Canis lupus familiaris: one gene and its partner. The protein of the gene in region 1 interacts with the protein of each later gene in a biochemical or structural test. Links are inferred from orthologs where the notes say so. Each region holds a gene or a part of one and is shown in the gene's direction. Other genes may lie near its edges. The genes, in order: PPP2R1B and PPP2R2A.

Evidence for each region.
Region 2: the proteins of PPP2R1B (region 1) and PPP2R2A form a complex in vitro, tested with the Homo sapiens proteins (2 studies listed by BioGRID). The link is inferred for Canis lupus familiaris from reciprocal best matches to the Homo sapiens genes PPP2R1B and PPP2R2A.

What each region holds. Positions count from the first base shown.
Region 1 is NC_049226.1:21,356,085-21,360,442, forward strand, and holds the start of PPP2R1B (serine/threonine-protein phosphatase 2A 65 kDa regulatory subunit A beta isoform), read left to right. Parts: upstream 1-1,336; 5' UTR 1,337-1,383; coding exon 1,384-1,497; intron 1,498-2,263; coding exon 2,264-2,354; intron 2,355-2,682; coding exon 2,683-2,783; intron 2,784-4,358. UniProt on the Homo sapiens protein: The PR65 subunit of protein phosphatase 2A serves as a scaffolding molecule to coordinate the assembly of the catalytic subunit and a variable regulatory B subunit.
Region 2 is NC_049246.1:31,381,846-31,385,660, reverse strand, and holds part of PPP2R2A (serine/threonine-protein phosphatase 2A 55 kDa regulatory subunit B alpha isoform), read left to right. Parts: intron 1-1,420; coding exon 1,421-1,586; intron 1,587-3,815. UniProt on the Homo sapiens protein: Substrate-recognition subunit of protein phosphatase 2A (PP2A) that plays a key role in cell cycle by controlling mitosis entry and exit. Involved in chromosome clustering during late mitosis by mediating dephosphorylation of MKI67.

The sequences.
Region 1 (4,358 bases):
AACCTGAGTCTTGAAATAGTATGGCAATACTGGTTATAAAGTGATCATCCATATAGTCCAGAATATGCTTATATAAATCTAAAAATTATTACCAAAATGAAAACCAAACTGAAGCCATACAGAAAACATCCACAGACTTAATTTGAGAGCTACTGTTCAGGTCCAGTGGTTCCCAAACTTTCACACCTACCAAAGGTTCTATCTATTGTTTTTTTTTTTTTTTTCCTATGAATGCCATGTTTAAAATGTCTCCTGAATTGCGTTTATTAATAATGTTTATTAATTAGATCTACAATTACTTTTGGAGCTTGTGATCACTATGTAGTTTATCAGTATAAACTGCTTAAATTATAGTCCCAAAACAAAAAAAGAGGGGCCATTCTAGTTGTTCTGTGCTGCCTCAGAAGGGTAAAGGAAAACTTTCCATTAAGTTTTGAAAGAACTCCAGGCCCCTCACCTCCTCCTCCTGGTGCCTTTGAGGACTCTAGAGTTCTAGGGAGGCCAGTTTAGCCTTTCTCGTACAAGCAAAGTAGCCACTCCACCCAATTTGGAAGGATTAAAGCTTGTCCTAGTTTTGCTTGATTGTTGTGCTTGTAGCATGCTAAAGACCTAAAAGAGGGAGGAAGAAAAAACAACAGAAGGCACCATTCCAGTACCAAACTGAAAAGAAACACAAAAACAAGAGAGCAGCATGTTTTTAACAGCTTGCATGGAAAAAGCGGAAAAAATATTGACTGGGGAGTTTGGACAGCAGTGTTCATTTTCTCTCACCGCCCGCGTTATTTGTCTTACGGAGCAGAAGCCAGATACAATTCTGGCTCCCAGGCCAGAGGAAGAGGTGGGGGGTGGGGGTGGGGGTTCTGGGGAAGCTTGAGGCTAGCGGGGGAAATTGGCCTGGAAACCCGGTGGCTCAGGGCCAGGATGAAGTCAGGGGAGGCGCTAAATTTGTTTTCCTCCTGGCCTTGGGCATCCTCTTTGGTCCGCCAGAGTCCCAGGAGCACAGTTCGCATCACTCAGGTAGGTCCCTGACCCCCTCGGCCCATCATGAGCAGAATGAATTCCTGCCCCTGTTTCTTTCGGGTGCGTAAGGGATGCGGGGGCTCCATTCGCTTTCTCAGCCCACCCTTGTTCTGGAGTTCAAACGTGCAGCTCCCGCAGCCGGGTCCGCGCGGGGACCTCCGCCAGCCGGGTAGAGGCTCAGCCGCCCCGCCTCCGCCGGGTGGGAGCGCCGGCCTCGGCAGCGCGGGCCTGGGCGCGGGGCGGGGCCTGGGCGCGGGGCGGGGGCGGGGCCTGGGCGCGGGGCGGGGGCGGGGCCTGGGCGCGGGGCGGGGGCGGGGCCTGGGCGCGGGGCGGGCGGCGGCGACCAGCCTGAGGAGAAAGAACATGGCGGGCGCAGCGGGGCCCGGGACCGGCCCGGGGGCAGCGGGAGGAGATGGAGACGATTCGCTATACCCGATCGCGGTTTTAATCGACGAGCTCCGCAATGAGGACGTGCAGGTACTGGAATGGGGCCGGGGAGTGGAGGCGGGCCCGGCCGGGCGTGTGGTGGGGAAGGAGGAAGGTCGGCTCCGCGGTGGGGGAGGCCGGGGGACTGGAAGAGCCCGACTCGGAGCAGAAATTTGATGGGGAGGAAGGTAAAGAGCCCCGAGGAGCTGCGCTGACTCGGCCCGGCGTTCCTCTGGACGTCGCCAGCCCCCCTCCTCTCGGCGCCTGAGGCGTCCCCGCGATCCCGGCGGTTGTGCGAGCCCCGGCTTCCCGCCGGGCGCCCCTTCCGGGCGGTGCGAGGGGAACGCGCGTCGCGGCCGGGCGGGCGGAGGGCGGCGCGGCCGAGCTGCGGGTGGATGGAGCCTTCCCCTCGGCCTGGAAACCGGCCTGGCTTGCTGGGCGGAAAGAGTGAGGCGGCTTGTTAACCGAGGGGAGTCGGTGTGTTCGCTCTTTCTGGGAAGGCAAGGGTCGTATCCAGCCGTTTCACCTGCTTCCCCGCCGCGCCGCAGGGTGTGTGGAAGTTGTCTCACTTCCTGGATGTCGTGCTCTTTTTCCTTTTTCTGAGGGGCCCTTTGAGGGTTGCTCTTGAGAAACCTTCCTCTGGCTAAAGTGAAGCTGTGTTGCGCTGCTCCCGAGGTTCCTCATAGAATAAGATCTCAGTGGAGGGTTTTCCTCGTTGTCACTGAGCATGTCGTTATCTCACTTGTTTGTCACTTTTCATCCTTTGGTCCAAATCACAGCTGTGCGCTTCATGCTTTCCGCTGTCTTCTTCTCACAGCTCCGTCTCAACAGTATTAAGAAGTTATCAACAATTGCTCTAGCGCTTGGAGTCGAAAGGACGCGAACAGAACTGCTGCCATTCCTTACGGGTATGGGAATGTTTTGTTTGAAGAAAAGGCATGGCCATTTCCATTTTCCAATGGCTTTCAGTCCTTGGACTCTTTTTAGAATCTGTTACACATGCTCTAACGTACTAAACTTGTGGCCAGATATATTAAGATAGTGACTGTTTAGCTAAGGGGAAGGTAATTGATACAAGATTGTCCATTTCTAACTCATTGTGTAAAGTGGATCCAGAATGCTGTTAGTATCGACAGGACCATCTAGTTAGACATGGAGGGTTTATAGTTTTGTGTGAGTATCCCGCTTTGGGCCAGCTATCCTTGTTGATGAGCATTGGGTTGTTGTCATTTCCAGATACAATTTATGATGAAGATGAGGTACTGTTAGCTCTTGCTGAGCAACTGGGAAATTTCACTGGCCTGGTGGGAGGTCCTGACTTTGCCCACTGTTTGCTGGTAAGTACGTTCTGCCTGCCATTCTTCTAGAGCTTCTCCAGTATAAACAATACATTGTGTGGTGATGGGAACACTACAGCATTTTTTTTTTTTAAGATTTTATTAAAAAAAGGGCAGCCCGGGTGGCTCAGCGGTTTAGCGCCACCTGCGGCCCAGGGCATGATCCTGGAGTCCCGGGATCGAGTCCCACGTCTGGCTCCCTGCGTGGAGCCTGCTTCTCCTCTGCCTGTGTCTCTGCCTCTCTCTGTGTGTCTCTCATGAATGAATAAATAAAAATCTTAAAAAAAAAAAAAAGATTTTATTAAAAAAAAAAGATTTTATTTATTAATGATAGACAAGAGAGAGAGAGGGGGCAGAGACACAGGCAGAGGGAGAAGCAGGCTCCATGCAGGGAGCCTGATGTGGGTGGGACTCCATCCCGGGACTCCAGGATCACACCCTGGGCTGAAGGCAGAGCTAAACTGCTGAGCCACCCAGGGATACCCCACTACAGCATTTTCAATGCAGACTTTTTTTTTTTTTTTTTATGGATTGTCACAGTATTGGCTATTGAGAAAACAATAATGTAGGCACTTTGGACTCAATTAACCCTTTCTCTTTCTGACTGTGAGCATAAGATTTCTTTTTTTTTTCCTTTTCTGCCTCTGTGGACTTGTTAGTGTTTGGGAGAAAAAAGGGTTTGATTGTTTTTAGGAGTTCTCCCCCTCACCACTCTAAATTTGGAGATCTTAATTCTTATCTCATAGTGTCATGATTCTGGAAATGTTAGCTTCTCTCTCTCTTTTTTTTTTTTTTTTAAGTTTTTATTTATTTAAGTAATTTATACACCCAGCCTGGGGGCTTGAACTCACAACCCTAAGATTAAGAACCACATGCTCTACAGACTGAACTAGTCAGCTTCCCTGGAAATGTCCATTAGCTTTTTATCTTTGATTGTAAGTCTACGGCTTGCTTCTGACTGACTGAATTTGAGGAGTTCGGTTCACAGTGGCTGACATTTACTGAGAGCCTACTGTATCAGGCACTGATGTTAGAGTGTTCACCAGTGTGAATGGAATGAGGTCTCTGCCCTTCTGTGTCAACAAGTAATTACTGTACAGTGTTAGATGGAAAGATAGAAGCACATAGAAGGTACCTAAATAGTAGAAAGGAGAAAACCTCTTGGGAGATGATGTCTGAACTAGGTTTTGAAGGATGACTAGGAATTCAGCAGTTGGACCAAATAGTGGTGTTTGCTTCATGGCTTAAATACGGTCTATATGATGCTGATTTCTGATTTCTATTTCTGCCTCTGACCTTTCCATGGATATAAATACTGCTTATATCTTCCTAGCAGTGATTGATTTTCTCACTTGTATGTCAAACAGGCATTTCAAATTTAACATGCCTAAAACAGAACTCAATTTTCTCCCTACAGTATGGCTCTCATTTAGTGGGCCCATCTCAGTAAATGGCATCACTGTCTACCCCCTTGGACAACCCAAAACCTAGAAGACGTTCTTGCATCCTCTTTCCCTCATTTCCCACATTCAATCCATTAGTAATTCCTATGGCTTCTGTACATATTCCAAATCA
Region 2 (3,815 bases), on another chromosome or scaffold:
TGATAGTCATACACACAGAGAGAGGGGCAGAGACACAGGCAGAGGGAGAAGCAGGCTCCATGCACCGGGAGCCCGACGTGGGATTCGATCCCGGGTCTCCAGGATCGAGCCCTGGGCCAAAGGCAGGCGCCAAACCCCTGCGCCACCCAGGGATCCCGAGACTAGGGTTTTAATCCCCAGTGGGGATTATGTTTTTTGGTATGCCTTGCATTCTTAATATTGGCAAACTCAATAATAATTGATACTGCTATCAGAGGGTTCAAATATAACTGGAACCATGAATGACCAAACCAGATAACCAAGCTGCTGTACAAAAACAACCCAAAACAAGCTTTTAAGGTGATGATTCACTAAGGTTTTCTTTTATATGTAGAACAATAATGAGCCATTCTTTTAATCAAGTCATCTTAAACATTTCATTTGATAAATTCACTTTTACTTTTGAATAGTTGGCTATCAGTAATATCTTTCCTTTAAACTATTTTTCCATAGGTTCTTCTTTGAACTAGACTTTTAATGTTTTTGACGGAAAGATTTTTAATCATGTGATAATAGGTTAAAAGGTGAAATTCTCTCATGGTTATAATTCTCACTTTTGTGAAGATACTAGTGTTAACTGAAGAAGTTGACAAGTAGTTGCTTTAGCTAATAGTTTAAACTGTATTCACTTACCCAGATACTAACTGAAATAAATCATCAGTGTGTGCTAGGCTCATAAGGCTAACTTAAGGAGAGGAAGAAATTGTCGATGGGTTTGTGGGGTGAGGTTTGCTGGGTAATGCTTTATGTGAACTTAATGAGTCACAGAGCTCTGTAACTGTGGTCTTGGGAGAAGCTGGGGTCAGATGATACTATTACATTGATGGAGTTCTTAAATAAGAGTTTTTCAGCAGTGACATGACCTAGAGACAGGCATGGGAAAGGAAGAGGAGGAAGACAATACATCCAATAAATAACTGATTTATGGTTGACCCTACAGTGGACAGAGAAAGTGTGCCGCAGCCAGCTGTTTTCTAACAAGCTTTTATTTATTCTTCCCTTTTAATTTTTTATTTTAATTTTCCCTTTTTAAAAAGGTGAGCGCCCTCATTAAGGGTGCTTAGATTTTTTTTTTTACTAGTAGTCCTCTACTATTTATTATATAATGATAAATTAGTAATCAGATTGATCAATATTTTAATGTCATTTTCCTATTGAATTGGGCTCAGGCTTTTTATTAAGCTTTTCCATTTTTTGTGAGGAGCTGTTTTATTTATTCCTAAAGGCCTTAAATATTTAAAAAAAAAAAAACCACTATAGTTGTATTTAAGATGCAGGTAATTAATTAACCAGAATTTGCAAGGTCTGTTGGAATTGATTGCATGTTTATGTTTTGAAATATTTCTCAACAATGGTCCAAATATTTTTGTTTCCATTTTAGAACAAAATCCAGTCTCATAGCAGAGGAGAATATAATGTTTACAGCACCTTTCAGAGCCATGAACCAGAGTTTGACTACTTGAAAAGTTTAGAAATAGAAGAAAAGATCAACAAAATTAGGTGGTTACCCCAGAAAAATGCTGCTCAGTTTTTATTGTCTACCAATGGTAAGTGTTAAATTTTTTTCCTTTTATATGCCTTTTATATATGTGTGTGTACATATATCCTGTACAATACTTAACTTTTACAAAGAGGAATAGATGTTCAGAGAGTTCTACAAATAGACACTTGGAAATAGACGTCTTCCCTATACATGATGTGTAAATTCTTCTTTGTCTTCCCTTTTTTCTTTTAGTTTTTAAATTCTATGAAAAAGATCTCAGGTGTCCATATTCACTTGGTATATACACACTCTGTAGTGAAAAAAGAGGACTTTACCACTGGATTTTAGATCAGGTACCATTTGTGCCACATCTTGGTTTAGTTGCCTTTGGCACATTATAACACAAGTCAAATTTTCCTCATCAGCAAACTGATGATGGTAATAATGTAATAGTATTGTTATGGGTAGTAAATGTGATATATATGATGATGATGATGATGATGATGATGATGATGATGATGATAAATGCCCCAAGCAGATGTGTTGGGACATACATAATTCACGTATTGGGATATTTGTTCTTAGTAATTTTGGCAGTTCACTTCTTACAGGATAAAGTATTTTTCTTTTTAATAATGGGAAATGTTTAAAATAAAGGCTGAACTAGAATAAGAAAGTCCTATGTACCCATCATCCAGCTTTAGCACTTCTCAGTTCGAAGCCAGTTGTTTGTTCAGGTACTTCTGCTTTCCCTCCTCAGTATTGTTTGGGAACAAATCCCATTTCGATTCATTTATGGATTAAATCTTAATTACCCCTCACTTCTCTGTTCATACTTGCATGTGTGTAACCAGATGAGCCTTTCTAGACAGTAAATTCTACAAACGCTCAGTAGAGGGAGAGGCCCTGGGAATTCTAGTCGTTGGGTCTTAGGTATGTGATCCTATCCTGTGTAGTATTTTCTATAGACAATCAACAGTGTCTCCCAAATAGATATACCATGTGAATTTTTAAGTCATTGATTAATAATACAAATTATTTTAAAGGGCACTACACAGTGCATTGTAGGTTTCTGTCTTTTGTTGTTACTGTTAATGAGCACTAAATAAAATACAATTATTTGGGGCTACATTATTTTTTTGTGATAAAAAACAGAACCCACTGTACAAGAATGATACAAGTGGGAATTTTACAGACTGTTGTGTCTGGATGTGGTGGGATGGGAAAAGGATGGAAGGAATAGAACTTAAGCTATATCTGGAGAGCTTTATTGTTTACAAAGAAAGAAAATAATGGGAGAATGTCAGTATCTCTTAAATCTAAGTCATAACTTTATATTATCTGGTATGTTTGCCTCTGTAAGATTGAGAATAACAATTCCTCTTCCCCTACATGTAACAGTCCTTTTGGCTCATAAAAGATGAACTCCTAAAGGGAGGTGGTGGAAAATAGCATGAAACATCCCCCACCTTTGATTGACTAAAAATAATCTCACTTTGGTCTTATATGGATTTCCCATGGTCATCATCAACCGTCCAGTGTTTCCCAGGTCATTTTTATTCACAGAACTTCACAGTGGCCTCCTTACAATTTTGGTTCATTTAATTTATCTTCACGTAACTTTATTCTCTTTCATCTCCTTTTGCTTTCTCAGAGTTTTCCACAATTCTTCCACATTGCAAAATGTCCACCTCTAACCTATTGACCGTGGATCTTGAATATATGAGTAATACAGAGTTTACCAGTAAATACCTTGTGTTTTAACAGCTGTTAATAAGTTTTTTAATAACAAAGCTACATTCATTCCCACAAGGAAACTTGGTAGATGGTTTTCCCTGTCCTACTCTCTCTTTATGGTGAGAGAAACACTGGGACTTTTGGACTTCTGGAATACTCTTTACTCATTAGTATTGACAATGTAGGGAAACACCATAGAGCACTCTTAACCTTTTGGAAATGACAGATTTCTTTAAGGAATCCAATAATACTCTTACAGAAAAATACATATATTTACATAATTTTGCATGTAGTTCTATGGAGTTTGATTATTGTCACATACTTCTAGTTGGCCAAAAACTACAGTTAATTAAATCACTACTATAGAGCTTAATTTTGACTTTTTAAAAATTTGTCCTAATTATTAAAATATTTTATTTCTGACATGCCTTGTTTCCAAGCATTGCACTGAAATTGTATAGTACTTTTCTATCCTGTGTTTATGCTATTAAGTTTTTTAAACCTCTTAAGTGACAAATTTTATCACATAAAATTTTTTTAAAGTGTAGCATATTTT